2 linked regions of the Sus scrofa genome follow. The protein of the gene in region 1 interacts with the protein of each later gene in a biochemical or structural test. Links are inferred from orthologs where the notes say so. Each region holds a gene or a part of one and is shown on either strand. Other genes may lie near its edges. The genes, in order: ARHGEF16 and TAX1BP3.

Evidence for each region.
Region 2: the proteins of ARHGEF16 (region 1) and TAX1BP3 form a complex in vitro, tested with the Homo sapiens proteins (2 studies listed by BioGRID and IntAct, with this or other methods). The link is inferred for Sus scrofa from reciprocal best matches to the Homo sapiens genes ARHGEF16 and TAX1BP3.

What each region holds. Positions count from the first base shown.
Region 1 is NC_010448.4:65,019,215-65,033,990, forward strand, and holds the start of ARHGEF16 (rho guanine nucleotide exchange factor 16), read left to right. Parts: upstream 1-7,736; 5' UTR 7,737-8,744; coding exon 8,745-8,825; intron 8,826-14,776. UniProt on the Homo sapiens protein: Guanyl-nucleotide exchange factor of the RHOG GTPase stimulating the exchange of RHOG-associated GDP for GTP. May play a role in chemotactic cell migration by mediating the activation of RAC1 by EPHA2.
Region 2 is NC_010454.4:49,749,681-49,764,456, reverse strand, and holds TAX1BP3 (tax1-binding protein 3), read left to right. Parts: upstream 1-5,430; 5' UTR 5,431-5,545; coding exon 5,546-5,584; intron 5,585-8,431; coding exon 8,432-8,551; intron 8,552-8,940; coding exon 8,941-9,018; intron 9,019-9,311; coding exon 9,312-9,449; 3' UTR 9,450-10,295; downstream 10,296-14,776. Other genes in the region: EMC6 (ER membrane protein complex subunit 6), read right to left, coding at 4,578-4,910; CTNS (cystinosin), read right to left, coding at 12,165-12,201, 12,566-12,680, 12,943-13,060. UniProt on the Homo sapiens protein: May regulate a number of protein-protein interactions by competing for PDZ domain binding sites. Binds CTNNB1 and may thereby act as an inhibitor of the Wnt signaling pathway. Competes with LIN7A for KCNJ4 binding, and thereby promotes KCNJ4 internalization.

The sequences.
Region 1 (14,776 bases):
CCACCCCGATTAGAGGTCTGAGTTCTGCTGTGTGTCTGACCGGCTGTTGTCTGTCCCTCCAGTCCCTGGGAACAATCTAGGGGGTGCCTGAGGAAAGAACAGCATGCCTCCGTTAAGGAGCAACCACTGATACCCCAACAAACCTGGTGGCCTGAGTGCCTGCCACCACACTCCCAAAGGAAGCTGCAGGCAGCGAGACCCCTAAGCACAGAGATGGGGAGTGGGCAGTAGGGGCCCAGGCTGGGCTGGGGGTGGCGGCCAAGGGCATGAACAAGCCACTTGAGTGACCGAGCTTACACAACTGTACATTTGTTTTAAGAAAAACATCTAACTGGATACTTTTTTTTTTTAATGGCTGCACCTGCAGCACATGGACGTTCCCAGGCCTGGAACCTGCAGCTGCTGACCTACACCATGGATTATTAACCCACTGAGCGAGGACAGGGATGGAACCCACATCCTCAAGGACAGTATGATGTCAGGTTCTTAACCTGCTGAGCCACAGCGGGAACTCCTAATTTAAAGGGGCAGTCTTACTACATGCACATTATAGCTCAAGTCCCTTGATTTAAAATAATAATAATTACAAGGGTCCATCCCAAAGCGCAAAGTCTCGGAGGCCTCGAACCACCTTTAAACGTATCCCAGCCAGACTGGGAAGGCTGGTCCCCACCCCCACCGTACCCAGCCCCTGGGCCATCAGCCTGCCCTTGGAGAAGCCCTCCCCCGGCTCGGCAGCTCCCAGTGCACCTCACTTCCAACATCTGGGGTGGACCCACCCTCCAAGGCTTAGCCCCCCAAGCCCTGCCAGAGCCCATCCAGCCCAGCCTGTGCGCCTGGTCCCCCTGCCTGGTACCATTCACAGAGCTTTAAACATTCAAGGAGCAGCGTTGTAGACTGTTTGTATACGTACATAGGAAAAGAGCAACAACATGCTTGAGACGGATAAAGACCAAGTTCACAGACATGGTTTCCTCTGGGAAGGAAGGTGGGGGTGATGGGGGAGGGCCTGGGGGAGGGGCTTCCGTCTTACCTCCAATGATTTATAGACCCTGGAGGCTTGTTTAACTGCCATTCAGGACATCTACAGGCAACGAAAGAGAAGCCGTTCTACTTCTTCCTTTACAAAATATATGTCTTTTATTGCTTTTTCTTGCCTTATTGCACTGGCCGGGGGCAGCATTAAATAGAAGCGGTGAAAGTGGACATCTTTGCTTCATTCCAGAGCTCAAGGGGGAAGTCTGTTTTGACCATCAGGTACGATGTCAGGTGAAAATCACCATGAGATAAAGATACTCTTTGCCAGCATCCTTCCTCCTATGCTTGTATCGCTGAGATTTTTATTAAGTATGTGATTGGGTTTTATCTTCAACATATCAGTATTTATCTTCAAGTGATATTACGCCCCTTTATGTGAAATACACAAACTTCACCACGGTATATTTCTGTGCTCCCCTCTCTTTTTTTTTTTTTTTTTGCTATTTATTATATTTTACTTCTGCACATGTGGAAAAATCCACAAAGCACCAACATTATTTCTGCTTTAAACCGTCCTTAAAAAGAACCTATTTAAAACACATAGGAAAAAAAAAAAGGTCTGTCATATCTATCACATATTTACACTTTCCAATGGGCTTCTATTCCTTGTGTAGACATGAATTTACATCTCCTATCATTTTCCTTTGGCCCCAAAAATCTCCTTTGACATTTCTGGTAGTGCAGCTCTGTTGCTGATGAATTCTCCCAGATTTGTCTTAAAATGTCTTGAAACATGCTTTTGCTAGAAGTGGACATCTTACCTGACAGCTTTGTTCCTTTCATCAATTTAAAGAATCTTGCCGGTGCTCTCAGCTTGCAGGGTTTCTGATGATGAATCAGCAGTTATTCCTGTCTTCATTCTCAAGATTTTCTACCCCTCGTTTTCAGCCATTTGCTGTGTGTCCTAATGTGTTTTTCTTTGTATTCATGCTGCGTTTAGTTCATTGAAGATCTTGGATCTGTGGGCTTGCGTTTTTGATCCCATTAGGGACATTAATGGCCATTATTTTTTTTAAACAAATGTTCTCCCCCTCACACATCTGGGCTTCTGATTATGCATGTGGTTAGACTTCTATTCTCTTTCAGATAGGCAAGGCTCTGTTCATTTTTCCCAGGTTTTTCTCTCTCTGTGCTTCTGTCTGGATAATTCATGTTGTCCTGTCTTCAAGTTCACTGAGCTTTCCTTCCATAGCATCTAATCTGTTGTTCATCACACCCAGTACATTTAAAATTTTTCATATCTTGTATATTTTTTCTTCAGAACTTTCATTTGATTCAGCATTACGCTTTCTCTTTTGATCATATTCATTATACATTATACCTCCTCTTTTGATTATGTTCATGGCTCCTTGTATATCCTTAGAATAGTGGTAATAACTGTTTTAAATGCCTTATCTGCTAATTCTGTCATCTATGTCATTCCTGGATCTCTTTCTATTGGCTGCCTTTTCTCCTGGTTATAGGTCCCAAGGTCCTGCTTCCTCACATGCCTCATAATGTTTAATTGGGAGCCAGAGGCTGTAAATGCTACATTGTTGAGAACTTAGGTTTTGCTGGCCTTCTTTTAAGAATCCTGAGTTTCATCCTGACAGGTAGTTAACTGACTTAGAGGTCAGCCTGGTCTTTTCAAGGCTTATTTCAAAGCTCTGTCAGGTCAGGTGCAGAACAGCCTTCACCCTGGGTGTAGCTTACCTTACACCTAATACCTGGCTTTCTCTGATCTCCATCCAGTGCCTTGAGGTCCATAAGGCCTCTTCATCCTGGTGGTTGGCTTCCAAGTGTCTCCTGACCCATGTGGAGGCTGGGAGCTCTCCTTCGCTGGCTTCCTGGGATCTCACTCTGCACACACACAGCATAGCTTTCGAGCAGACACAGGCTGCCCCACAATGGTTTAGGGAGGTCCTTCTCTGCATCACAGCCTCCTCTCCAGGGATCTGTGCACACCTCCCAGTCCCCTCAGCCTCCCTGAACCCCAACTCTGTCCCCTCAGTTCAGTGAGGCCACTGTGTTCTGCCTCATTCTGCCTCCTAGAAGAAACCTGAGCAGGTGTGGGGCTCACCTCATGGGCTCCTTTTCCCAGGAACCATAATTTTCTGCTCTCTGCTCTCCAGAGTCTAAAACCATTGCTTCCTGTAGTTTTTTGTCCAATTATCTACTGATTATGGTGGGAGCTGCAACATCACCACCAAAATGTCTGCAATGTTTTTTGTTTGTTTTTGTTTGTGTCTTTTTAGGACAACATGTGTGGCATATGGAGGTTCCCAGGCTAGTGGTCTAATCGGAGCTGTAGCCACTGGCCACAGCCACAGCAACACCAGATCCAAGCCACATCTGTGACCTACACCACAGCTCATGGCAATGTGGGATCCTTAACCCACTGATCAAGGCCAGGGATCAAACCCGTGTCCTCATGGATACTAGTCAGATGCATTGCTGCTGAGCCACGGCAGGAACTCCTAATGTTTTAAATTCTCAACTGAAACCAGATACATGCATTTTAAAAAATTATTTACTTCTCTGGAAGTCTGAAACAGTATCTAACTATTAGAGGGGGCCTGGGGCTTGGAGTCAGGCAGACCTTGGCTCCCATCTTGGCCCAGCCACTCACTAGCCAGTGACAAAGCACACACACCTCCCCCCTCAACTACATGGGGGTGAGGACATCGCCACCAGGGAGTTGCTGTAAAAATTTAGTCAGGTGCCGCATGGGGCCTGGCACACAGTAGGTGCTTAATAGGAGGTGACAACAATTTGCTCTTGAGAGGACAAGGAGGAGTGACCCTGGGCTCCTGCTCAGCAAGGCCACCCCCATCGGCCGGAGAGGCAGTCAGGCCCCCCTCGGCACCCCGTCCCCCACGCCACCCCCACACCCATCTGCAAACCCCACCCACCCTGGGCCTCCAGTCTCCCAGCACAGAGGAGCCTCTGTGCTCAGGCCCACTCACAGCCACCAGCCACCGCATCATTTGAGGTCAACGAGACCTTTCCAGCTGCCCGCAGGCTGGACCGGGCACCCGTGGGCCCTGCAGTGAGTGATAGGTCAGCCGGATGCCAGAGCCAGAGAAGAAAGGAGCCTTGTGCCCCTTCCCCCACCCCCACGTTGCTTGCAGCCCAAGGAGGGGAGGGTGGGCAGCGGGCACGGCCCATGTGGCCCTGCTAGCCTTGCTCATCCTTGGCCCCAGGAACCTGGGATGGTAAGATCAAAAGGCCTCCTGGGGGCTGCTGGCCTCAGGACACTGCCTCTCCAGGCTGCAGCTCCAGCAGCTGAGCAAAAGTTGGCAAGACTCAGAGTGAGACCTCCGGGATGCCCGGGAGCCTCAAGAATGAGACTTCTACCGATAAGCCCAGACTTCTTTGTAGGAAATCCCAAGTGCCATGGGGTCACTGAAGTTGTCGGGACCCCATGGGGGCCAGTCCTCATTTCAGGAGTTCCTGGCAGGCAGTAGAGGCTGACCCTACCCTTGTGGGGGCGGGGAGCCGCCGAGTGCAGGCTCCACCCACAGGCCCCGGTGCCAGGAACTAAGGCCACTTCCAGCCCGGCCCAGGCCCCAGCCCACAGTGGGGCAGTGGGGTCCCCGCCAAGGTTCTCATGGGGCAGAGGCAAGGAGAAGACCCAGGCCACTCTCGCAAGGCCTCCGCCCTTATTTCCCCCCCAGCCCTTGGAAGCCGGACAAGCAGGATGAACGCTGCCTGGCTGCACAGGTCAAGGGCAGCCTCCTCCAGGCCCGCCAGACGGTGCTCCCCCAGACCACGCGAGAGGGGCCCCGGCCTATAGGCGAGGGCGTGCTGGCCGCCTGGCACCTGCAGTCTGTCGCCCTCATCATGGGGCATGGAGAGAGAACTGCAGACACAAGCAGGCAAAGCAGGAGGCTCGGAGAGGCAGGGGAGCCCTAAAGAAAGACTGCGGGAGGGGGAACGACTCCCGGGGCCGCAGCAACAAACGACCACACAGTGGGGTTGAACACAACGGAGCACAGCTTCTCCCGGCCCTGAGCCAGACGCAAGGCCAAGGTGCTCCCGCTGAAGGCTCCAGGGCAGATCCTTTGTGCCTCTCTGGCATCTGGGGGCTGCTGGCACTCCTCGCTCACAGACACGTCCCTCCAGCCTCTGTCTCGATCCACCTCGGACCTCCTCCCTTCTGTCTGTACCCAGATGGCCCTCTTTTTGTAAGGGCACCTGCCAGTGGATTTAGGGCCTGGCCTAATCTGGTAGGATCTTGTCGTAATTACTTCTGGAAGGACCCAGCTCCAAGTAAGGGCGCATCCCAGCAGCATCCGGCTCCCTGCGAGGGGACCCAGCCGCCAGGAGGCCCGTGGCAGGGCAGGAGGGGCCCAGGCACCGTCCAGGGGGCAGTGTGTTCTGTACTGACCTGGCCCACATGCCCTCTGTCCAAGACACAAGGGTGCGAGTCCTGCAGGCTTACTGCACTGGCAGCTGAGAGCAAGGAGGGTGGTGACAGCAGCCCTGGTCCTTCTGTCCATGCTGGTCCCTTATAATTCACTCAAGCTGTGTCCTTCCAGCCAACAGCCCTGATCACAGGTCATCATCAAACCTCCATTTTAGAGCTGAGACAACATAGACCCAGACAGGTCAAGCCACTTGCTCCGGGTCACCCGTCCCCAATCACAGGCTGAGCCTGCCGAGCCAAGGACATGGCCCTTCGAAGCCCCAGCTTGGAGGTAGAACCAGCCCCCATGGGCTGGAGGGGCCAGAATAGGCAGGCGCTGGATGGCCAGGGCAAGTGGGGATTAACCCTGCAGTGGAAGTCACTGAGTGGGAGTCAGAACCCCCAGGGCCTGGGTCTCCCCTGCGGCTCCCTCTTGCAGTCTGAGCCCTGTGGGTGTAGTACCAACAATGACCTCTGGAGGGCAGCAGGTGCCCAGCTTTCCCCCAGAGCTGCCCTGAAGCGGTCCATCCACCCCGGGGGGCCACAGGGCCCAGGCTTCTGCCCACCAAGGTCACCCACCCCCCACACACAGAAGGGATGGATGGCCCTGGTGGGCACCTTTCTGTGGCCAGCCTGGGCCCTGCCCAGGTGGCTCTTGCGCACTGGTGGGCTTTATCCCACTTCCGGCAGCCAGGCCCCCGCCTCAGGGCAGACCCTGGGGGGTGGGGGCAGCAATGGGGGCGGGACTGGGAAGGCCGAAGGCATGCCTGGCAGGGTTGCCCTTCCAGCACGACATCTAAGGAAAACGCCAGGCCAGCCTGCAGCAGCCCCTTGCCCTGTACAGACAGCAAGTTCCCAAGGCCACAGCCCTGGGGGGGCGGGCCCCAGGAGAGGGCGGGCCCACGCCCCAGGCTAGACGGTGTCCTGCCAGCTGGCATGTCCCCACACGCTGCCTACTGCACCACCGCCTGGGGTCAGCGAAGGGACAGTGCTGGGCTGGAAGCCCAAATGCACCGCCCAGCAAGGGGTGCACACGGAATCACACCGCTGGCATAACTGGCACGAGCCATCCCTGAAAGGGGGACCTGAAGGCAGGTGGGAAACAGGCTGGCACCTCCAGGGCTGTGCCCTGGGATCTCGGGCCGCACCTGAGTCACCAGGCCCTCGCCAAACACCTGCTGTATTCAGGGCCCTGGGATGGCCATATAAGAGCTGTAGCGGGAAGCAGCTGTATTAGCAGAGGTATGGCATCCAGAAGAAAGGTGAGGGGTTGAAATAGGAGGGGTTTCGGTCCACTTTGAAGCACCTGGGGGAATAAGCCAGGATGACGAATGATCTGGATTCCGGGTCATCAGTAAGGACAGGTGATAAGAAGTGGATAACAGGGCCAATCTAATCATGGGTCTTGGGAGGTAGTGAGCTCCCCATCCTGGAGGTATCCAAGCAGAGGCAGGATGTCAGCTGCCTTGGTCTGGGTTGGGGGTCAAGGTATCTGTTTTGGCCCCTCCCCCAACACCCTCTTCCACTGCCAGAGGGCTCCTTCCACCAGATCTGATCACGTTGAATCTTTGCTTGAACCCTGAGTGGCTGTGGTTTTGTCTGTCTCCCGCTGCGGTGAGCTCGCTGAGGGCAGAGACCACGTCGCAGAGCTCGGGGCTGCATCTCCGACGCCTACACAGTCGTCAGCCCACAGCAGTGGCTCGGTAAACCCCCAAGAGTAAAGGAGGCAGGAAAGCAGCAGGAGGCGGCAGCAGCGCCCAGACTAGAATTCAGGGCTGCAGTGGGGAGAGCTGGGGAGCCAGGCAGAACCGCCCCCCTGGGGACGGCCGGCCCCACGGTGGGAGGTTGTGGTGGGCGCCCGCCAAGGGCTGTTCCGGAGTGGCGAGTGGCGCAGCCTCCAGTGAGGGCCTCGGAGGCCAAGCCCACTCAGCCGTGGGTCACATGGGTGCTGACCAGCCAGGTGGGGACAGTGACGCAGCCAGCACGGCCAGGTACCTGGGGCACGCCCAGCCGTTCCCTCCGCCCAGCCCGGGCCCTGCCCACCTGGCCGCCCACCTGGTGGGGCGGGACCGAGCCATCACCTCCCGCAGGGCCGCACAGGAAGTGGGAGGGCGGGGACAAGGAGGGACCAAGTGCCGGGATAGAGGCCAGGCCCGGAACGGCGCCCGGCCAGGGCGCGGAGCTTGGAGGCTGGAGCGGCCCCACATCGCCGCTGTGCTTGTTGCTCCTTCCTCCACCCCAGCGCGCAGGTAAGCCTGGGGGACAGGTGAGGGGGGAACAAGTGAGGCTGGGGGACAGGCGAGGGGGAACAGGTAAGCCTGGGAAGGGACGGGTGAGCCTTGGGGAAGGGGCTGGCCACCCCAAGGGCACATTTCCTCCCCTCACTTTTCCTGCTGGCCCCGCGCCGGGGGCCACGACAGTTTCCAGCTCCCTCCCTCCCTCCGCAGCGGCTGGACCTGGAGCCCCTGACCCCACCCCCTTCTGTCCTCTGAGCCCTGGGGGAAAGGGGCGCTTCCAGCCCCCAGGGGAGCTCTGCAGCTGGAGCTCCCACTGAGGCTTCTGCACTGTGAGACCTTCCAAAGCCCCAAAAAGGCAGTGGGGGGTGAGGTGGGGTCCCCGGCGGGGGGGTCCCCTAGAAACAACCTCCCAGCAGCTGAAGAATCTGCTGCCAAACTGCTTGGACCCCAAGAAAGTGGAGCCTTCTCCCCACCTGCGAGAGCCGGCCCTCCCCACCCTGGAGGGCGGACCCAGCAGCGGGAGGTCCCAGGCTGCCTCCTGCGAAGGAGGGAGGGGAGGGGGGTTAGGCTCCCGAAGGGCAGGGCTGGACGGACGCCTGCCTTAGCTGCCCAACCTCTGCTTCTGCACCTGGGAAGCAAGGGTCCCTTTAGAGCTGGGAGTGGACCTCAACCCAACATCGGCCGGGCTGCCAGGAGGGAGTCTACAGGGAACTCTGCATCCAACAGCCCTCTGTCCTGGGGGTGAGGGGGCTGCACCTCCTGGCGTCGGGATTTGGGGACACTGGCCAACGAGGCCAGGCTACGCAGGGCCTGCTGGGGAGAGCACGAGCACCCCAACCCTGTCTACCCAGCATCCCGAGGTCAGGACCCCAGGTCCAAATCCCCACTCCTTGTGACCTAGACTGAGGCTTCTAGGCCTCAGTTTCCAGCTCTGTGAAGTGGGGGTGCTTAGAGGGTGCTGATTCAGCTGCAGCCCTGCCGATGCCCGCGGGCTGCGGAGGAGAGTCTGTGAGGGGCAGGCAGTGGGCACCGCCCGCAGAGCCCCCACACCCACCCCGCCTGGACACCTGCAGGGAGGAGCTATGGGGGGGTCCTTGTTCCTCAAGGGCTCTGGTCCCCAGGGGGCGTCTCTGAGCCCACACAGGAGGAAACTGGGTGCAGAGGTAAGTGGCGCGAAGCAGCTTGACAGGCCCTGAGATGCCAGGCTGCGTGTCACGGGCACAGCCCCTCCCTTCGTCTGGGTCCCGGAAATTTAGTTTCGGTTTCTGAATGGATCTCACCGCTTTGCCTCCTCTGCCCACGCCAGTGACCGCGCGCGCTTAGGGACCCGCCGCAGCAGCAGCACCTTTTTTCCTGAGAGTCACCCCCGGCCCCTGGCCCGATGGGGCAGTGATCTGGGTCAGGCCGGGGGCCTGGCTCCCTGCCCGGCTCTCTGCTGACCTGCAGCCTGACCCAGCAGGTCACATTCCCCCCACACCTGGTTTCCTCACCCGGCAGAGGGGGAGAATACCCCCCCAGAAGCTCGGCCGGGACAGAAAACAGGGGGGCAGGGAGGCGTTTGGAGGCTCCCCATGGGTCAGCTGATTTCTGACCGAGTCGGGGCTCTGATTGCTCATCTGGGGCTTCTTTGGGGAAACACCATGGGTGCCAGCCTGGTACTGCAGCTGGGTTGGGGCATCTGGACTCAGAGACAGGAGTGGGAGCTGGGGGTGGGCCTATCTGGGGGGCACTGGGGGCCGAGCCGGGAAGGTGGCCTCTGTGATGACAGCCCTGCCTGGGTGCCAAGAGACTTCTGCTCGGGGTGGGAGGGGCCCAGGGCAGGCCACCGTCCCTCCCCTCTGCCAGGCTGTGTCCGGGGCTGAGGGCGGCCAGGTGGGTTTTCTGGCCTTGACGTGGCGGGTGAGTCCAGGTAGCCAAGCTGAGGTTTCCCCACCTGAGCCCTGCAGACGTTTGATCTATGACCCCCTGCGGGCATCCTGGGCGCTGCTGTAAGTTCTGAGCAGCCTCCCAGGGCTCTGCCCACAAGAGGCAGCACAGCTGCGACCACCAAGAATGTCCCCAGGCACTGCTGAGCATCCCCGGGGACCAAGCCACTCCGGTTGAGAGCCCCCCGCTGCCCCCGGCCACCTTGCAGGTGAAACTGTTTGCTGTGCACTTCACAAAGCCAAATCCTGCCCCAAATTCCATGTGACTCCGTGTTTCGAACTTTTGACCCGACAGAATTATCCAAGCACAGGGCACCATGGCGGGTCAGATCTGCCTTGGCAAAGGTGGGGTCGTGGGCTCAGTGCCGGAGGCCAAGCCCCATGGGCAGGGTCGCGTCAGCCGGACCTAGAGACAGACGCCCCAAGGATGGAGGTGCTGTGGTTACCTCACCCGAGTGGCGGCAGGTCCCATACTCAGGGCACTTAGGGTCCTGGTGGCTGTGAGAGCCACAGGCTCAGGCCGGGAGAATCGTGCTTCTTCGGAGGGGGGCCGGCGGCACTGAGCCTACTGGGGTCCCTGGAAGCCCATCTGAGGCTCTGGGCTGCTGTGCTGCCGGGCTGCCAGGGGCCCTTGGAGCCAGGCCATCCTGAAACCAGCACTGGGCCAGGTGCAGCTTAGGACCAGACAGGCCGAGTTGGTCACCAGAGGCTGCCAGAGACCTCCCTGCCTCCACCTGCTGACCCCCAGGCCACTGCTCCTCCCCCCGGAGTCCCACGTGCCCCTTCCCTGGCCTGCACGTGTGCCCACAACGCCAGGACAGGCTGCTTAGTGGCAAAGGAAAGAGCTCGTGCCGGGCTTCCCCCACTCAACCCAAGGGGCCCTCCCCAGCCCACCCTGAGCAGAGGCAGCTGGACGCTCCCAGAAGGTGGTGGACACTGGTCTGGAGCCCCTGAGGCTCTGCCCTGGAGGATTCTGCTCGCTTGGAGCCGAGTACCGTGTGGGTTAGAGGCACGGAATGCCAGGGCCTCTTCAGGAAACCGCTCCAGAAGTGGAGAGCCGGTGCCCATGACAGCAGCCTTCCCTGTGGGAACTGAGCCCCACTGCTTGTGGGGACATGAGCAGGAAGCTGCCCAGCTCCTGAAGGACACACAGACTCAGAGAGACACGGACAGACTGCTGCTATGGGCGTCTGGGGAGGTTTGCAGGTGAGGGGGGGAGAGCAGACTTGCCTCTGTGGCTCAAGTGCTCCCTGCATGGGGTCTGGCCTCTCTCGGCGACATCGATGCCCAGAGAGCACAGCCAGCACTGAATCTGTGCCCTCGGACCTCCCCTGCCCTGCCTGCAGGACACCAGGCATAGGCCAGCGTCCAGCGAGGACACTGAAAGGGACACGTCTGAGCCCCTCTGCTGGAGGAGAAGCCACCAGACACAGACTGGTGGGGAGTCCCAAAAAGCCTGCCAGGCAGAAGCGTGTGCTCACGTGTGTGTGCTCAGAGGGCACACCAGCCTCCTGCCAGCACACACCTGTCTCCTAAACCGAAGGCTATAGCTGGCCGGCACCACCAGGCGTTTGAGGAAAGCCTGGGGCCCGGGATGGAGCTGAGAAGAAGGAGGAAAATCGTGTGCAGAGGAGCTGGGCCAGGAACAGAAAGAAACCCGTTCAAGAGAAAATGGAATCAGAACCCCTGACACTGAACAGGGATGTGGCATCCACGGCATCCATGAAATAAGAACAGGCTGCTGCGAATAAAGACTAGGAGAGTGCTCCTTGTAAGATGGTGCAAAGAGCTATAACGTCAGTGGAAAGGAAGACAACTCCCACCGCGGACAGGAGGGAGGAGAGACAACAGCAAGGATGTGTGGGTCGGCTCAGCGGTTTCAGTGCTCGGTAACAGCTCTTCCAGAAATAGGCCAGAGCAAACAGAGGTGAGAGAAATTCTCAGAGAAATAGCCACGGAGGAGTTCCCATCATGGTGCAGCGGAAATGAATCCGACTAGGAACCAGGAGGTTGCGGGTTCGATCCCTGGCCTCGCTCGGTGGGGTAAGGATCCGGCATTGCCGTGAGCTGTGGTGCAGGTCGCAGACGCGGCTCGGATCCTGCGTGGCTGTGGCTGTGGTGTAGACCGGTGGCTACAGCTCCCATTCAACCCCTAGCCTGGGAACCTCCATATGCCATGGGTGCGGCCCTAAAAAGACAAAAACCAAAAACAAACAAACAAAAAAGAAACAGCAGTGGGAAACCTCCGAACCTAAAACAGGTTGGGAGAGGGCACGAGCTCGGGGAGTGGACACGGATCCGCCGCCGTCAGCCCGTCCCCGTGGGCGTCAGTGCCCGCGGGTCAATCGGGGCGCACCCACCCTCTGCGGGCCGAGCTGGGGTGAGCCAGTCGAGAGCCGAGGAGGCGAGTGGGGCCAGCGCCGATGTCTCACCAGCACTGAAAGCCAGGAGGCAAGAGAAGCGGGCTTCTCCATCCGGAAGAAAATCATTTCTGATGGGACTCTAAACGCAGCCCATCCCCGCAGAGAGAAAGGCAGAAAGAAGGCATTTTCAGAGAAAGACCCCCCTCCCTCTCGAAGCTGGGGGTGGGGAGAGGAGAGGACCAGGATGCAGGGAGGGGGACAGGGGGCCGAGCTCCAGCCCCCAAAGCAGGGAAGGGAGGGCCCGGGGAGAGAGGCCAGGGTCTCTGGGTAAACAGACTGATGCTTGACCCTCTAGAGCGTGCCATCCTGATGCCCAGAGCAGGGGTGCTGGGACACACGGGGGAGAAGGAGTAACAGGAGGAAAGGCAGCCGGTAAATAAGAGGGAATTATTAACAAGAGGGAGGCAGCCGGGCTGCGCTAACGCAAACACCCACGGGCCATGGCTGTGCCGGCCAGGCCTTGTCCACGGGGCCAGAGAGGCAGGCCTGCGGCCGGGACATGGCCAAGTGGCGGGCTGGGCCTTGTTTGGAAATGGAGGGAAGGCCGCGGAGTGGGGCAGGGAGGCATGGAGAGGACGCCTGTCTTTGATGATAAGGCTCTAGGCGGTATTTGACCTTTGAACCTATGCCCTGGTAGGTAGCTCAGGGATAAACCAAAGCCTTGGAGGAAGAAGCCAGTGGCCCTGAGATGCCTTAACTCCAGGAGCCCGGGGCCTGGAGCTCTGGCAGAGCGGGGCAGCTGCCCACGCCCCTGGCACGGTGCCCCTCTCCTCCAGGCCTGGTCCTGGCTGGTGGCGCCCGAGGCCTGAGGGTGTGGCTGTCGTGCTTGGAACGGAGCTCACGCCCGGCCACGGCTGGCTGGACAGGATCCGTCTGGCACGTTCTGGCTCCTGAGCAGACTTTGCCCTCTCCTGGGAGTGGCCCTGCCACTGGCGGGGTCTGGGGCCCCAGAGGAGGTGGGGGAGGAAGACCAGCGTGGGGGCGGGGTGGGCGGGGGTCACGGGTGCCGCAGTCCCTGTGTGGGCCCCTCAGTGCCACCTGGACATTAGAACGCGGGAAATACCCTGCGGCTCAGAAAGAAGGACTCAGGGGCTGGACGTCTCCAGGATGCCCATCTGGGTCATCTTGCTTTGGCGTGCAAACAGGAGAACCTGCAATGAGCCCCTTTCTTGGCCAGGCCTGCATGACCTGCAGGTTAAGGCTGGGCGGGCGATGCGGGCTGGGGCAGACCCGCCCTCAGCTGCCGGCTCCCCAGGAGGCCCCAGGGTGGCTGCTGCTGTCCTCGTCCTCGGCCTGGTGACTCAGAATGTCCCCAGGAATGCGTGGGCCGTCCTCCCGTGTGGGGGTGGCCAGGGCTCCAGGCCAGCCCCGCCCTGCTGGCCTGGAGGCAGAGCCGCACACACCTTCCTGGGATGGTCTGAGCCGAGAACCCGTGAGCTGGGATGGCAGAGCGGGGCGGGCAGGCAGCCAGGCTTCCGGGTGCCCCTGCCCAGGTCGCTTCTACTGTGCCGGGATTTAGGCCGCCCCGTGCAGCCAACTCTGCCTGGGCTCCCGTCCGAGGGGTCCCTGGAGCTTGGAACCTCCCAGTGGGAGAGGAACCCAGAGGCAAGGCTGCGCGTGTGAGGTGGGCTCGGGCTGGGACCTGCGGGCAGGCTCTGGAACAAACGCTGGTCCCCTGGCAGTACCCACCCTCCCAGGCCTGGCCACCCCTGCTGCGTGCCCCCATGGAGGAGAGGGCGGTCACACCTCCTCCCCCAGAGCGGTGGCGAACTCTGAGCCGAGGCTCCCGTCCCCGCTAGGCCCCTGGTGACCTGGAGCCTCCGCTCTTCCACCTGAAAAATGGGCCTCCACCCTCACCCAGCCCTTAGGATTATAGCGTTCACAGGTTCTGCGTGGGTGAGGAGCGTCTGAACGCTGGGTCTCCTTGTTTCTACTCTAAGATGAGAGGAAAGTTCTGGGAGCGAGTTCTCTCCAGGTTACGACACTTTAATCCTGCAAAGTTCTCCCCTTGTCGCTGCTCCTCTGGAGGCTCCTAGATGGCCATCTATTCAGCACCGGCTTGGTCACCACGACACCGTGGCCCCTCGGCTGCCAGGCCCCCTTCATGCACTCTGCCTGTGAGCTCACCCCCCTGCAGGAGGTGGGGGATTATCACTGTGCCCATTTTACAGATTTTGAAACCAAGGCACAGAGAGCAGCAGGGGAAGCAATGGTGGTGACGGGAGAGCAGACCCTCAGCGTGGACTGGTCAGTGGCCAGAGGCTAGTGCCCACGAAGCCCAGGGTGTGACAGGTAGTGGTGACAGGCTGCCAGCCAGGATGCGCCAGCTTGTGCTGCAGCGATAAATAGCGACACCAGGTGCTTAGAGACCCTGGGTCCAGAGGGCTCGTCCCAGTCACTCGGGGCGTCCCAGGTGGGGGCTCCATCCCCACGCACTCCTGCAGCACCCCACAGGGAAAGGCATGGGGGGGCACATGCAGTGGCCTCTGAGGTTTCTGCCCCGGAGGGTCACACGTCCTTGCGCTCGGCCCTGCCTATGCAGGAAGGATGAAAGCGGGAAATGCTGGTGGACACACGCAGGACAGGCCGCATCACTTCACACGGGGCTGCCTGCTGCTGTGGGGGCTGCTAGGCCGGCCGGGGCTGGAGGGCGGGCGGTGGGTGAGACTGGAGAGGGTGGAGGGGTCCGGATGGGAGCAAGCTGCCGGGAGGTGCTGGCTGGCCCATCCGAGGGGCACAGAGGGATGGGCAGACCTCGGGGGGGGC
Region 2 (14,776 bases), on another chromosome or scaffold:
AAACACACAATTCCCTGAGGAAGACATACAGACGGCCAAAAAAACACATGAAAAGATGTTCCACATCACTAATTATTAGATAAATGCAAATCAAAACCACTATGAGGTACCACCTTACGCTGGCCAGAATGGCCATCATCAAAAAGTCTGCCAACAATAAATGCTGGAGAGGGTGTGGAGAAAAGGGAACTCTATTACACCGTTGGTGGGAATGTAAACTGGTGCAACCACTGTGGAAAAACAGTGTGGAGATTCCTCAGGAAACTAAAAATAGAATTACCATTTGATCCAGCAATCCTACTCCTGGGCATCTATCCAGAGAAAACCATGACTTGAAAAGATACATGTACTCCAATGTTCACTGCAGCACTCTATACAATAGCCAAGACATGGAAACAACCTAAATGTCCATGGACAGAGGAGTGGATAAGATATGGTACACATAAACAATGCATATATACAGCTTTTTTTAGGGCTGCACCCACAGCATATGGAAGTTTCCAAGCTAGGGGTCAAATCAGAGCTACAGCTGCCAGCCTACACCACAGCCACAGCAATGAGGGATCCGAGCTGGGTTTGTGACCCACACCACAGCTCACAGCAACGCAGGATCCTTAACCCACCGAGCAAGGCCAGGGATCAAACCCGAAACCTCATGGATCCTAGTGGGGTTCATTAACCACTGAGCCATGAAGGGAACTCCCACACAATGGAGTATTACTCAGCCATTAAAAGGAAAGAAATAACAGCATTTGCAGCAACATGGATGGACCTAGAAATTATCATGCTAAGTCAGTCAGACAGTGAGACATCAACATCAAATGCTATCACTTACATGTGGAATCTTAAAAAAAAGGACACAATGAACTTCTCTGCAGAACAGATACTGAGTCACAGACTTTGAAAAACTTACGGTTTACAAAGGAGACAGGTTGAAGGTGGGGGGATGCGCTGGGGGTTTGGGATGGAAAGACTATACAATTTGGTTGTGATCGTTGTACAACCATAAATGTAATAAAATTCATTGAGTAATTGAAAAAAAAAGAAACTAAATTAAAAAAAGGAAAAAGATACATGCACCCCTATGTTCAGTGCAGCACTATTCACAATAGCCAAGACACGGAAACAACCTAAAAGTCCATCCACAGATGAGTGGATTAAGAAGACGTGGTACATATATACAATGGACTACTACTCAGCCCTAAAGGAGAACAACAACAACAAAAAATGCCATTTGCAGCAACATGGATGGATCTAGAGACTCTCATACTAAATGAAGTAAATCAGAAGGAGAAAGACAAATACCCCATGACATGGCTTATATCTGGAATCCAATAGAGGGCACAAATGAACATTATCTACAGAAAAGAAACTTATGGACATAGAGAACAGACTTGTGGTTGCCAAGAGGAAAGGGTAGAGTGTGGAAGGGACAGGGAGTTTGGGGTCAGTAGATGTAAACTATTGCATTTGGAATGGATAAGCCATAAGATTCTGCTGGATAGCACAGGGAACTATGATCACTTGTGACTGAACATGATAGACAATAACGTGAGAAAAAGAATGCATATATATATGCAAAACCGGGTCAGTTTGCTGTGCAAGAGAATTAACAGTACATTATAAATCACCTATAAAACAATTCAACAAACAAAACTTTCAAAGGTTTGCTATTAGTATCAAAGCCAAACCATAAGTGAGCAAGACCCTATGAGGCCTTCTCAGGAGGCAATGTCTTCCACCTGCCTCTGTCTGTAGAAAACCTGTGCCTCCTAGCCCTTCCCTGAGTTCTCAAGAATAAATTTAATGAGAAAAGTGAGAAAATACAGAAAGGAAAACAATCAAGCAAAACAAAATAATAATAATAATGACAGCTGAGCCATTAAACAAAGTTAAGGAAAAAAAAAGAGTTCCTGTGGTGGCACGGTGGTTAGTGAATCCGACTAGGAATCATGAGGTTTCGGGTTCAATCCCTGGCCTCGCTAAGTGGTTTAAGGATCTGGTGTTACTGTGAGCTGTGGTGTAGGTTGCAGACACGGCTTGGATCCTGCATTGCTGTGGCTGTGGTGTAGGCTGACAGCTGTAGTTCTGACTGGACCCCTAGCCTGGGAACGTCCATATGCCGCGGGTGTGGCCTTGAAAAGACAAAAGACAAAAAACCCCCCCAAAACCCCAAACAAACAAAAAACCCAAAAAAACAAAAGTTAAGGACCTCTGGCTCCTCCTCAGGGGCTATGGATAACATTCTGAGCCATGTCTTTAAAGCTATTTTACAAATATGAAACCAGGTGGAAGAAATTAACTGTATGCTTGCCCACTAGTATGTAGATCCTAGGCCGGTTCCAATCTGAAGGCTGATGATGCTGACTCCTGGTTACCTCACCAGCAACCAATCACAACAATGTCTACAGCTGGTCATGAACCTGCAACCCTCACCCTGTCTTAAAAAAACCTTTCGCTGAAAGCAATCGGCCATTTGGGCCTTTTGAGCACTAGCTGCCTGGTCCCCTTGTTCACTGCCTGCAAAAACAAACAAAAAACTCTGCACTTTCGTGAACGGTGTTTGTAGAGTCTCTTTATTGCACAGGGTGAGTGGACTCAAGTTTCTTAACAAAACCCCCCACTGGGTCTATCCCAGGGCCTCTTAACTCTAAAGACACAGGCCAAAAGCTATCCTTCCCAATGGCCCTCACATATGTATTTTCTTGCAAGTAACTCCCTCCACACTTGACTGTTAATAAAGTGATCTCAATCGTAATGTTGTTTCTTTAAAGATGCTACCCCCCACCCCCCGGCCCAGCTAGGTCTGGGGCTTCTGTGTACGCTCTTCATAGCACTTACCATAATTTGAATATTTGTGAAAACAAGTATTACTAGTCTTCCCAGTTAAGACTATACATTCCACAAGCAAATGCTCATTACTTAACTCTACTACCATATTTTATTTCTCAATTAAATGTATGCACTTTATTCTAAAATAATCCTCCTGACAAGAAGGGATCATGGATTAACATAGAGACAGAGGCATTTACACTCTAGACAAGCCCAAAGTTTAGCTTAACCATTGTCTGTTTAATCTTCACTAGACACAGTCTAGAAGAAAGAGCTTGAATTTATTTCTCTTTTTTTCTTTTTGGCCACACTCATGGCACGTTGAAGTTCCAGGGCCAGGGATCGAAACCGCACAATAGCAGCCACCTGAGTAGTGATAACGTCAGATCCTTAACTGGCTGCACCACAAAAGAACTTGAATTTACCTCTTTTTTTCCTTTTTTTTTTTTTTTTTTTTTTTCTTTTTAGGGCCACACCTGCAGTATATGGAAGCTCCCAGGCTAGGGGTCAAATCAGAGCTGCAGCTGCCAGCCTACGCCATAGCTACAGTAATGCCAGATCCCAGCCGCACCTGAGATCTACATCACAGCTCATGGCAACGCCAGATTCTTTAACCGAGTGAGGCCAGGGATCGGAACCTGAGTCCTCATGGACACTAGCTGGGTTTGTTACTGCTGAGCTACAATGAGAACTCCCTGAACTTACTTATTTTTTAAATGGAAACAACAGCTAGCTCTGACTTGGTGAAATGGAACTGAAACGACACCACTCACAACTGAAAGGTGTGGTTAGTGGGAGGGAAGACTGGGCTCTGAAAAGATATACTCAAATAATTCAGTACGGGCAATTAAAAGACCTACACTGAAATCCTGGCTCTGCCTTTTCCTAGCTATGCCTCCTATGGTAGAGGTATTTAACTTCTCTGAGCCTCAGATTCATCAGTGGGGGCTAAGAATCAATCTACTGCATAAGAATACTGCTAGAATGAGATTGAGTGTAGGAGTTCCCATTGTGGCTCAGCGGTAACAAACCCAACTAGTATCTACCAGGATGCCTGTTCAATCCCTGGCCTCGCTCAGTGGGTTAAGGATCCAGGCACTGCCATGAGCTGTGGTGCAGGTCAGAGATGCGGATCAGATCCCAAGTTGCTGTGGCTGTGAGGTAGGTCGGCAGCTGCAGCTCTGATTCGACCCCTAGCCTGGCAACTTCCATATGCCACAGGTGCGGCCCTAATAAAAGCAAAAAAAAAAAAAAGAAAAAGAAATGAGTGTGAAAGGTGCGCAGTACAATGCCTGGTATATAGAGCACACTTAATAAGTATTGACTGTTATTAGTTCTCGGGATGTTAATAAGTTCTCTTATTTAGGCCTTAGTGACCCCTCTGCGAATAGCCCATGTGTCAATGCAAGGAAATGAAAGAAAGCTAAGGCGCAGTCAGAGAGCTCTCCCAGAGTCAAAACCCGGCGATTCTGCACCCACAGCGGCGGGAGGGGGGGGGGGACGGGGGGACGGGGACGCGGAGCGCGGCGCTTTAAGGTAGGAAAAAAACTCCACAAAGGGTCTCACGCTTCATTTAATCTGAAGAACAGTACAGGCTCTTCGTCTTCAGATATAAATTATTCATAACGTTACAGAACAAGCAGCGAATCCAACAATTTAAAAACTAGGTAAGTCTACACGCTGTTAATTTCCGGCAACCGTCCTCCCAATCTGCTTTTCAAAAAGAAGTCATCCCTGCCCTCCTTTCAGTAGACGTGCACCATGCCGTAGAGGAATGTCCAGAACAGGACGTAGGTGAAGAGGCCTCCAATGAGACCTCCTGTAAAGAGAGGTCTTCGCGACTTAAAATATTTGTTCCACCTCCTTCCCGCCTTGAGAATTAAGAGCAAAGAGAGCAGGATGGAGGCGAGCAGGTAGAAGATGAAACCGTACAGGCCGGTGAGGCCGAGGATGCCGGCCGTGGCCCCCGACAGCGCCGACACCGAGGTCCGGCAGTAATCCAGGACGGCGGCGTTGCCCCGCACAGCGGCCTCACTGATGAACGGCGGCCCTTCCCGCTTGACCACCACAGCGGCCATCGCACCCACCCGGACTCGGCCTCTGCTTTCTCCCGAAGCAACGCGGGGCTGCGGAGAGAACCACGTTACAAGTAGCGCCCAGAGCCTGGCGAGTTGGGTTCACGCCGCCCCTTTCCCTAGGGCTGCCAAGACTTCGCACCACCTCCCCGCCCCCAGCGTCTCGGACCTTCGAAAAACGCTGAGAAAGCTGAGGGTTCGGGACGGCTGGCCGCATAGCTGCATTTCCCGCCTAGACTCGGCCACTTACCTGGAACGCGGCGGCGGAGGTAGTCACTCGACGTTCCCTCAGACAGCCTAGAGCAGGGACTCCCGCGACGCCATCTTGCGCAGAGGATGCTGGGAAGGCCCAGGCTGCGCACGCGCCAAGGCCTCGCTCCCCGCCCCCCCTCCGCCTCTGGCGCACGCACTGAGGACGCCTCAAGCACGCACCACCCACTTCCCCGCTTTTCTACGCACGCACGGGAACTTCCGAGAGCCGGACAGCGCTCCGGCAGGTGATTCGCTGGAGTCTTGTTAACTATTCATAAGGGGGCGGGCTGGGCCGTGCAGCCTTTGTTAACCAGAGAGGGCGCGGCCACCGGGATTCTCGCTGCAGGCTTCGGGGAGCGGCGCTTGGCTTCCAGATTGGGGTCGAGATGTCCTACATTCCGGGCCAGCCGGTCACCGCCGTGGTGGTGAGTGCGCTCGCTCGGGCTCTTCCTAGTTTTGGCTTGCCCCCACTTTGCAGATAGGTAAATTGATACACCAAACAGGTTGACAAAGCGTCGAACCCGGGACTCCTGCAAACCCGCAGCCAGAGCTCCGGTTCCCGCTCTGCGGGACAGGAGCCGTGGTCTTCCCCAGCCAGGCAAGAGGTGGCTGGGACCCACGAGCTTCCTGAAGACCCGGGATCAAGGCCAGATCCTGCTCGCCGCCGCCGCCGCTCTGGACTCTTCTTACTGAGGGAAAAGGCCCCGGCTGTGGGAGTCTAGGAAGCGTCCCCTTCCCAGGCCTGTGTCCCCAGCTGGGTAGCCGCGGGGGGCGGGCGCCGGATCCAAAGTCCATGAGTCGCAGCCTCTGGAATGAGGAAGTGCTTCCTCCGCTCCAGCCGGCGCCGCCGCCCAAGACTTGCGGGTGGAGGTAGCCGGAGCCTGAGTAACAGTCCTACAACCCCTCCCATCTAGCCTTGCCTTCTCGGACGCACAGTCAGTCGGTCCAGAGTGAAGGCTCATACAACTGACTTGATCCCGCTCCGAACTTTCCCTGGATCCCCAAACAACTCTTGGGGCAAAGCCCAGGTCACCCTCCTGGCACTTGGGGCCTGAGGAGACCCTTCGGGGTCGGCTCAGGCCCCTGGTTGCCCTCTTGGTTCATCTTGGGTGCCAAGTGCTATGAGAATAGGCAGAGAAGTTGGGACATTAGACTCAGACGCCAATGTCACAGCTGGATGGGGCCTGGAGACCCATTCCATGGCTGAGGTGGGGAAATTGAGTCCCAGAGAGATGTCTGGCCATGCCCAGCCATGTAAAGAAGGCTTCAAGAAGGACCCAGATCTCTGAGCAGAAATGCCTGCTGGGCAAGGAATGGGTCAGATGGAAGTCGTAGCCCTAAGGGCCCTGCCACTGGCTGCAGTATCCAGATGGGCGTGTTGGGGACTCCAGCAGCCAGGTGGTGTGACCAGGGAGCCACTGATAAAGCTGCCATGTGAGGGTGAGCTTAGCACACCAGCTCAGGCCTGGACTGCTGACAGCTGTCCTCAGCTTCACCCTGGCTGCACCGGCTTGGCTTTTCCAGCCTTCTAGCTGCCCCAGAGAGAAGGGGTCAGGTTTGCTCTTTAGCTAGAAAAAAGGGAGTGCAGGTGGGGAACCAAAGAGGCAGGAGCCTCCCTGACCTCACCCAGGAGGTCAGTGATGGGGCCTTGTCTCCCAGTCCAGACCTTGGAGATGGGTCAGAGGTGTCCCCAGAGGTGGAGCAGGCCTGGAGGAGCTCACACTCTTACACACGAGGACCTAGGTCCTGCAGGCCTCAGGTGTCATGCTTCCTGCTCCCCTTTCTCACATGTCTCTCCTGGCCCCTGGGCCTTCCTCTAAGTTTTAGGACCATGACCCCCTGGTTCTTCTCTAGGAACATGTTTGAATATGGTGGGTGGGGCCTGGCTTCTCCCTCCTGTGTCCTGGATCCGGGATGGGGTGGAAGAGGCTCCTCCCTACCCCAGGCCCTCTCCCACATACTTAACGCTGTGACAGTGTTAAAACCATTTGGCCTCTTCGCTGAACTCTGGGTCCATAGGTTCGTCCACCTTCTGGACACCTACCTGGACAGCTCTTGGTTCTCCAGCTCAACATGCTCCTTCTCTGGGATCCACATCTGGGAGATGGTTGTGTTCAGCCAGGCGGGGCCAGATGGCTGGCTGGGTGCTCCCCTTGCCGCCTCTGCATGATGGGCCATCCGGAGATGTCCCACCTCTGTGAGACATCTGTTGCCTTACTGCCTGGGTGGTCGTTTCAGCATCAAACCTGACCATGATCTACCGTCAGCCCTACTCCCCAACTCCTGGGAGCTCCAGTGGGTCCAAAATCAAGGTCAGGTGGCCAAACTCCTGGTCAGCCCAAGGCCTGGTACAAACGGCCCCTCCTTCATGAAGCCCCTCAGATCCAGATCAGGTCACATGCAGTTGCCTTTTACTTTGTTTTTTCCTTCTTCCTGTTAAAACTCTCAACTTTGGGGGGTGTGGGGTGGTCATCTGGTCTGGAAGGTGCCTGCTGAGGGCTTTGAAAGGAGCCTGGCACCGTTGGGGTCCACAATCTCACCGTGTGGTGAGGGTGCCCTGGGCCCTGCATCCACCTCCTACACTGCACAATAGCAGGGCCCCGGGGCTTAGGGAGATGTCCTGTCCCTTAGGCTGGTCTCCTGGCCCTGCACTCACCAGTCTAATGCATCTCGCCTCAGCCTTACCTCGCCTCCCGGTTCTGGTCCTGTGCCATACACTCCCGTCTCAAGGAAATGTAGCCACAGCACCTTCGAGCCTCTGCTCCTGTTCTCTTGGCCAGGACAGCTCTTCCTCCCTTCTGTGCAAGTCTGATCCCCGCTGTTCTAAAGCATCTCCTGTCTCACCCTCAACAGGGCTGGCTTAGCAATCTGAGCTGGCCTCAGCAAGGTGCCTACATGTTTTGTTCAGAGCTTGACCCCTCTTGCCCCTGTGTTCCCTCCCCTGGGACAAAGACCCCATCCGGAACAGCCACAGCATCCTGGCTCAAGAGCCAGGAGGGGCTTAGTCTGTGTTAAGAAGGCTGGTACCTGTGACGTAGGAAGCTGGGAGAGGTTAGGGAGAAGGGTTGTGTGGGTGGGTTGGTGTGGCTGAGTTCTGAGCCTTAACCCCCCAGCCTCCCAGGCTGGTGAATAGCTGGCTTCCTGCAGGAGATCCTGGGCCCCACCTCTGTGGCATGGCTCCGAGCCTACCCAGCTGCCTGAGGCTGCTGCTGGAGACACAGGCCACATTCTCTACACCCACTCGCCCCCAACTCGTTTTTTATCTTTGCTAGCAAAGAGTTGAAATTCATAAGCTGCGTCAAGGTGAGAACTTAATCCTGGGCTTCAGCATTGGAGGTGGAATTGACCAGGATCCCTCTCAGAATCCTTTCTCAGAAGATAAGACAGACAAGGTGAGGGGGTCTGGGGACCTCTCCGTGGGGCACAGAGGCCTGAGATGGTGGGTCTCTGCTTCCTGGGCCTTTGTGGAAGGAGCTGACCTCATCTCTCGCAAGCAGTCCTCTTTAAAAAGGTCCAAGACATGATCTGGTGGGAGTGAGGAGGGGTGGGGTGGGGAGAGGGCCTGCCAGCCCTCCCAGTACTAGGAAGCCTGCTCAGACAGAGGCTGGAGCGTCTGTGGGGCTGCCCCGCTGCCCCCTTGGCTGTCTTGGCACAGCCTGTGCTGGGGGGTGCTGGCTGTGGACACATGGACAGCTAAGAGTATGCCATGCTGGGCTTTGCTCTATGGATAAGAGGCCGGTCCTGTGACCCCAGTGCTTGACTTGGGGGGCCTATTTTTCAGGGCATTTATGTCACGCGGGTATCTGAAGGAGGCCCAGCGGAAATTGCCGGGCTGCAGATCGGGGACAAGATCATGCAGGTAACAGACATCCCAAAGGAGGAAAACAAGGCTTGGGCCAGAGGGTTTAAAGCACGTGGGGTGCGTTTGGGGGTGTGGGGCTGCCCCTGCCTGCCTCCCCGGGCACCTGGGAGACTCACCAAAGCCGCTCCGGAGCCTATGCTGGCATAGCCCTCTTTCCTGTGTGTGGTGGCGCTTGGTGTCCCCAGATCTGGGGCGTCAGCTTGGGTGACTCAGTTCCCCCCACAGCCCGTCCTGCTTGCAGATCCCAGAGGGCGGCGAGCTGAGGGGGCTGCATTCTCTCCCTGGGCCAGGTGAACGGCTGGGACATGACCATGGTCACGCACGACCAGGCCCGGAAGCGGCTCACCAAGCGCTCGGAGGAGGTGGTGCGGCTGCTGGTGACGCGGCAGTCGCTGCAGAAGGCGGTGCAGCAGTCCATGCTGTCCTAGCAGCTGCCAAGGTCCCTGCCGCACGCCTGCCCGCCTCTGTGCAGTGACACCACCTCCACGCTCTGTCTGTCCCTTGTCCTGGCTTCTGATGGCTGGGCCCCGACTCGGAGCGGCAAGAGCTGGTCCCAGGGGCCTGACCCAGCCTTCCTTCTCTCCCACCACGGGCCCGAGCTCTTTCCCTTGGACACAGGATTAGCAACGAGGGCCTGGAGCCCAGTTTGAATCAGTCTATGATGACCACAGACTCAGCCCCCAAACCCTGCTGCTTGGCCACAACCGTGCCCAGGCGAGGAGCCCTCCCACCCCCCACTACTTGAGGGCACCACACCGCTGGGAAACTCAGGGGCATGGTCCTGCCCCTGCCCCGTGTCTCAGCCCTACAGTGCCTGTGCCCCGTGCCCTGTGCCCCACACCCCCTGCCACGTTCCCCAGTGAGGACCGACTCACACTGCCAGAGACACTACCAAGGTTTGCCCGGACAGAAGCCAGGCAGGCTCACTGCTCACCCATCGCACCCCAACCAAGGGGCGCTGGCCTCCCTGGGGTTCACCTGCTTACAGGATTTAGATGAGGTTCGAGGCTGACATTTCAGGGCAGTTCTCAGGATTGCCATTTTCCTCTATGCCCGTGGGTTTAACTTTTGTATTTTTTTAGTCACAACTTTGATACAAAGCGTTTTTATCTTACTCTTTGGAGATGCCAGTTCAACTTTTGAATTTAGCTTACTAATTCATATCTGGGAACTACATTTAATAAGGGAACCAGCCTTACTTCGGTTACTGTGGAAATGGGGCAGCAAGAAGCTGCCCCCCATATTGTGCCCAATAAACAGTACTGGATTCACCAGGGGTCTTTGCTGAGACTTGGGGTAGGCTTATTCGGGGGTGAACTGTGACAGCTTTGGCTGTAAGGCTGGCTGACCTGGCCTCCACCGCTCTGAACAAAGCCCACCTACTCCCCAGCCTGCGGATGCTACGCTTGGCCAGGGCCACCCCCGTGGGAAAGTCTGGGAGTCCCTTCCCCGGGACTGGGCTCCCCAACTTCCCTTGTGTAGCCTAGCTTCAGCCTCCATGGCCGGGCTCGGGGGGAATCACGGTCACCAAGGTGATGGGAAAACACCCACCTCCTAAGACTCTGAAGAGCACTCAGTTTACCACAGTGAAGGGTACGGTCCTAAATGTTCCCAGAGACTGGAGCTGACAAGATGGGGGTACGCTGGGGAGCACGGGGGCCTCTGCCTGGCCCAGCATTGGCTGCTTTACCGCCTGGCGGTTGTGACTACTCAGGGACCCACCTAGCACCGCCACGTCAGATTTGTGCACATCTCCCATCTATAAAGTGTGGTACCTGGTCACACACTGGGCAGCCCCAATGAAACAGGTGTGTGGGCTTGGTCAGGCTGCAGTCTCTGCTTCAGGCAAACGGGATCCTCAATTCTTTGGTACTTATTACACCCGGATCAAGGCAGAAACTGGAAGACACCTTTCCCTGCCAGCCGCATGCCCTTCAAGACCTCAGCCAACCTGTGCTCACAACCACAGCCTGACTGCTGAGCCCCGGGTACTACAGATGGGGTACCTGTGGGACCTACCTGGCCCTGCGCAGGTAGGTGTCTTGTGCCACCCAACAGGGCTCCCCTGATGAAGTGCTGGGTCGGCATGCCACCGTCTCTGGATCCGCGAACTTGGCGACCTCATGCATTTCCTGACAGGGAGTGACCGAGGCCGTCTCCCTAAGTGCCACGGACTTGGTTCTGAAGTCAACATACCTGCCTCCTGCATCTGGCACATGCTCAGTGTGCAGAGGAAATAAATCAGGTTTAATTAATTAAGGACAGATGTCCCTCATGCTGATATCGTGGTAAACAAATCTGAGAGCAGACTGACAAGCTCGACGCGTGTACAAGGCACATCCTGGGCCCCTCCCCTCCCCCACTGCCACAGGAAGGACAACTACTTGGGTTGGGAAAGGAGAGGCTTTAGGATCAGGCTGGGCCCACGAAGATTGTATGGGGTGGTCTCAAGTCCTTATCTGAGGCTCCTAAACAGCCATAAATTGGGGAGTCTCAGGTGAGGGAGAGGGGCCTGCCCTTCCCCTCAAGGGAGCTACTCACCACCCGGCAGGTCTGCAGGCCTCTAAGGCACAGACTGGTGTGTGTGTGTCCTGCATCCCACACTCAGGGTAAGGAGCAGGTCAGGGGCTCACATGGGGCCCGACCAGGAGAAAGTGGAGGTAGCAGAAGGCAGAAGAAGCTAAGCCATCACTTCCATTCCATCCCTCTGGAAAGTCCAACGGGGGTTGTTCGTGTGATAAGGATCCAGAGTGTTGGATGGGAGTCTGGTTCCGAACAGATCTGTTGGGCACCTCAAGGCTTGAAAACACTGTTTCTTTACCCGAGCCTGGCCTGGCACGCCTGTGATCACATGTCGTGGAAGTGGAGTTACATGGAACGAGTGTCAGGACAGTGAGTGCTCAGAGAATGCAGCCTTCGGGGGTGGGGGTGGGGGTGGGGCTCCCAAAGCCTAACCCCAAAGTCCTAGCCCCTCTGCCACCAGCACCAGCACCACTGGGTCTATTGGCCACAGCACCTGGCTGCTTGGTCTCTGGACACAGCAGCGGCAGCACAGTGCCCTTGGCTCTCCCAGCTGCAAGGTCAGTCCTTCAAGTTGCTCCCAGAAACACTGGTTGCTTGGGGCAAGGCCTTCTGGTCCAAGCTCAGTGCTCAATCCTGCCTGGGATGGCTGCCTGAAGCCTTAAAGAAAATAGAGATGCAGCATCAAGATGCAGGAGGGCCGGATGCCTGGCCGGTAAGGCCCAGGAGGGGCTGAGACCTCTGGGGAGGCTGGGAGGGACGACCCATGGTCTGGCCATTCATCTCCACACTCAGGTGCCAGTCCCACCGGGAGGTTCCTCCCTGGCCCAGCAAAGTTCTGGCCCCAGGCAGGCTGGTTCGAGGTTAAGGCACTTGGCCCTGAGGAAGAGGATGCTTCTCCACATGGAGCCAGCCCTGCACTTGAGACAGCTCTTCCAGCCTTCCTGGTGGAGCCTTTCCCACCAGGGCCCTGGGCGGGGGCTGCTTCCTCTGGGTTCCTGGGAGCTAGTTCAGCTGCTCATACCCTGGTTTTTTCCTGTACAAGCAGAAGTGCTGGATGAAGAAGACAATGTCGAAGATGATGGAGAAGATGCCAAGTCCAAACTTGGTTGGGTCTCCAAAGATCAGGGTCCACTGGTCTGTAATAGCCAGAGGGGATGGGATTGGTTTCAGTTTTAGGCTGGCAGCTCCTGATGTAGCTGGAGTCCGTGGGGCTGGAGGCGGGGGGGGGGGGGGGGGGGGGTCGGGGGGGGGGTGGTGAGGGCCCCTCCCCGTCCAGGAAACCACACATCCTCCAGCTACCAGAGCCCCCAGGATTGGCTGGGGAATTCCCCCCCGGGGAGGGCGTGGCCTCCAGGAAGCCCCGCCCAGCCTGTGCGTCCAGCCCACCCACCGACTCACCGTTGTTGTAGGACTGGAGGAACATCTGGAGGAGGCTGAAGCTGCCTCCGGTGAAGTCCAGTAGCACGTTGCCAATGCTCCAGCCTTCGGTGCTTTTGTAGTGAAAGTTCATGTAGGCCTGGGCCAGACAGACAGACAGACAGACCGGAGGCGGTGAGGGGGCTGGGTGGTGGCCTCCAGCCCCTTGTGACCGCCGCTCCAAACAAAAGTGGCTCTCATTCCTCCTCCTCATGTGCCTGGACCTCGACGCTGAGAAACACAATGACCTTTGGGCTCTGACAAGCCTTGGCTGAGGGCGCGGTGTGGGCGGGTCCTGGGGGGGGTCTCATCTGGGTGCTCGGCAACCAGAGCCCCCCTCCCCCCAGCCCTGCACCTCCCAACTCCGGCAGAGGGAGGGGAGATGCTGCCTCTCCGGCTTCTTCCTCCCTATCCTGGCTTTCCAGTTACTCTCATTTTATTTCTCGCTTTCAAATGGAGATTCTTCCCAAACTCAGCCGGGACTTCGTGCTGCGCTTACAAACACGGGCCCGGAGTCTGACTGCCTGGTTTGGAATCATAATTCCACCATCACACCTACGTTACCTGGGAGAGTTATGTGCGTTCTCCCGGCTTCAGGCTCCCTATCTTAACGCCCTCCTTAGTCCTGATTGGGCTCTGGAGCCTCCGCCTCGGGCTCCCCAGGTTCATCCACTTGGATATCACTCCTCTTCCTGCTGCCAATGCCCCACATCCCTTCTCCAATGCCAGGACCCTCCGGGCTTCTCTGACTGGTGTGACCTCCCCTCCCACCACCTGGAGGGGTGGCTTGGTCTTCACAGTGGCCTTCTCCCAGGGAGGCACCTGTCGGGTCCCCTTCTCTGTCCTCTCCCACCCTCTTCTGTACCTGCAGCCACCTCTCCAGTCCTGGATGATTCCAAACACCTCTAACTGGGGCTCCTGCCTCCCAGGCTTCCCAGGCCCAAGCCTTCCCACACTCAGGCCCCACTTTCCCCAAGACCTTCCCCTGCTCTGAAGCCTCTTTCCCAAGCGCCCTGGGACCTGGCCCCACGTTCCTGGCTTCCATACTGCTCTGCGAGCAAGGTCTCCTCACTGCCCCCAGTTTCTCCGAGCCTGCTGCGCCGCCTCCTCTCTTGTCCACAGGACGGAGTCCTGTGCCTCCTTACGGGTATGGCTCTGTTTCCATGTCCTCCAGGGGGCTGGCCCTGAGTCTGCCCAAAGCACCCTCCTTCCTGAGCCCATGGAGTACAAGGTCCCTGCGCCCGGCAAGCTGAAAAGGGGCTTCCGCACTGGGAATGGGGTGAATTCAACGAGGCTCTAGATTCCTGCGCAGAGCCTGCAGCTGCAGTTCCTGCATACTGGACCCTGTCCGGGCCACTCTGCCTGTGGGGGACGCTGCATTCGACTGTCAGTCTCCGGCTCTGAATGAGACTAAGGACTTGAGGATGGGTGCTGAGGACCCACAAGGAGGACCCTGGCTGGTGGTGGGCGCCCCTTCCTGCCTTCTCTTCCTCCGGATCCTGCTGTGGCTTGGCAGCTGGTGGTAACTGGCAGGAGCCGTGGTGGGGTGAGGGGCAGAACTGAAGCCATTAGAAAGGTGGGGGAGTTCCCGTCGTGGCGCAGTGGTTAACGAATCCGACTAGGAACCATGAGGTTGCGGGTTCGGTCCCTGCCCTTGCTCAGTGGGTTAACGATCCGGCATTGCCGTGAGCTGTGGTGTAGGTTGCAGACGCGGCTCGGATCCCGCGTTGCTGTGGCTCTGGCATAGGCTGGTGGCTACAGCTCCGATTGGACCCCTAGCCTGGGAACCTCCATATGCCGCGGGAGCGGCCCAAGA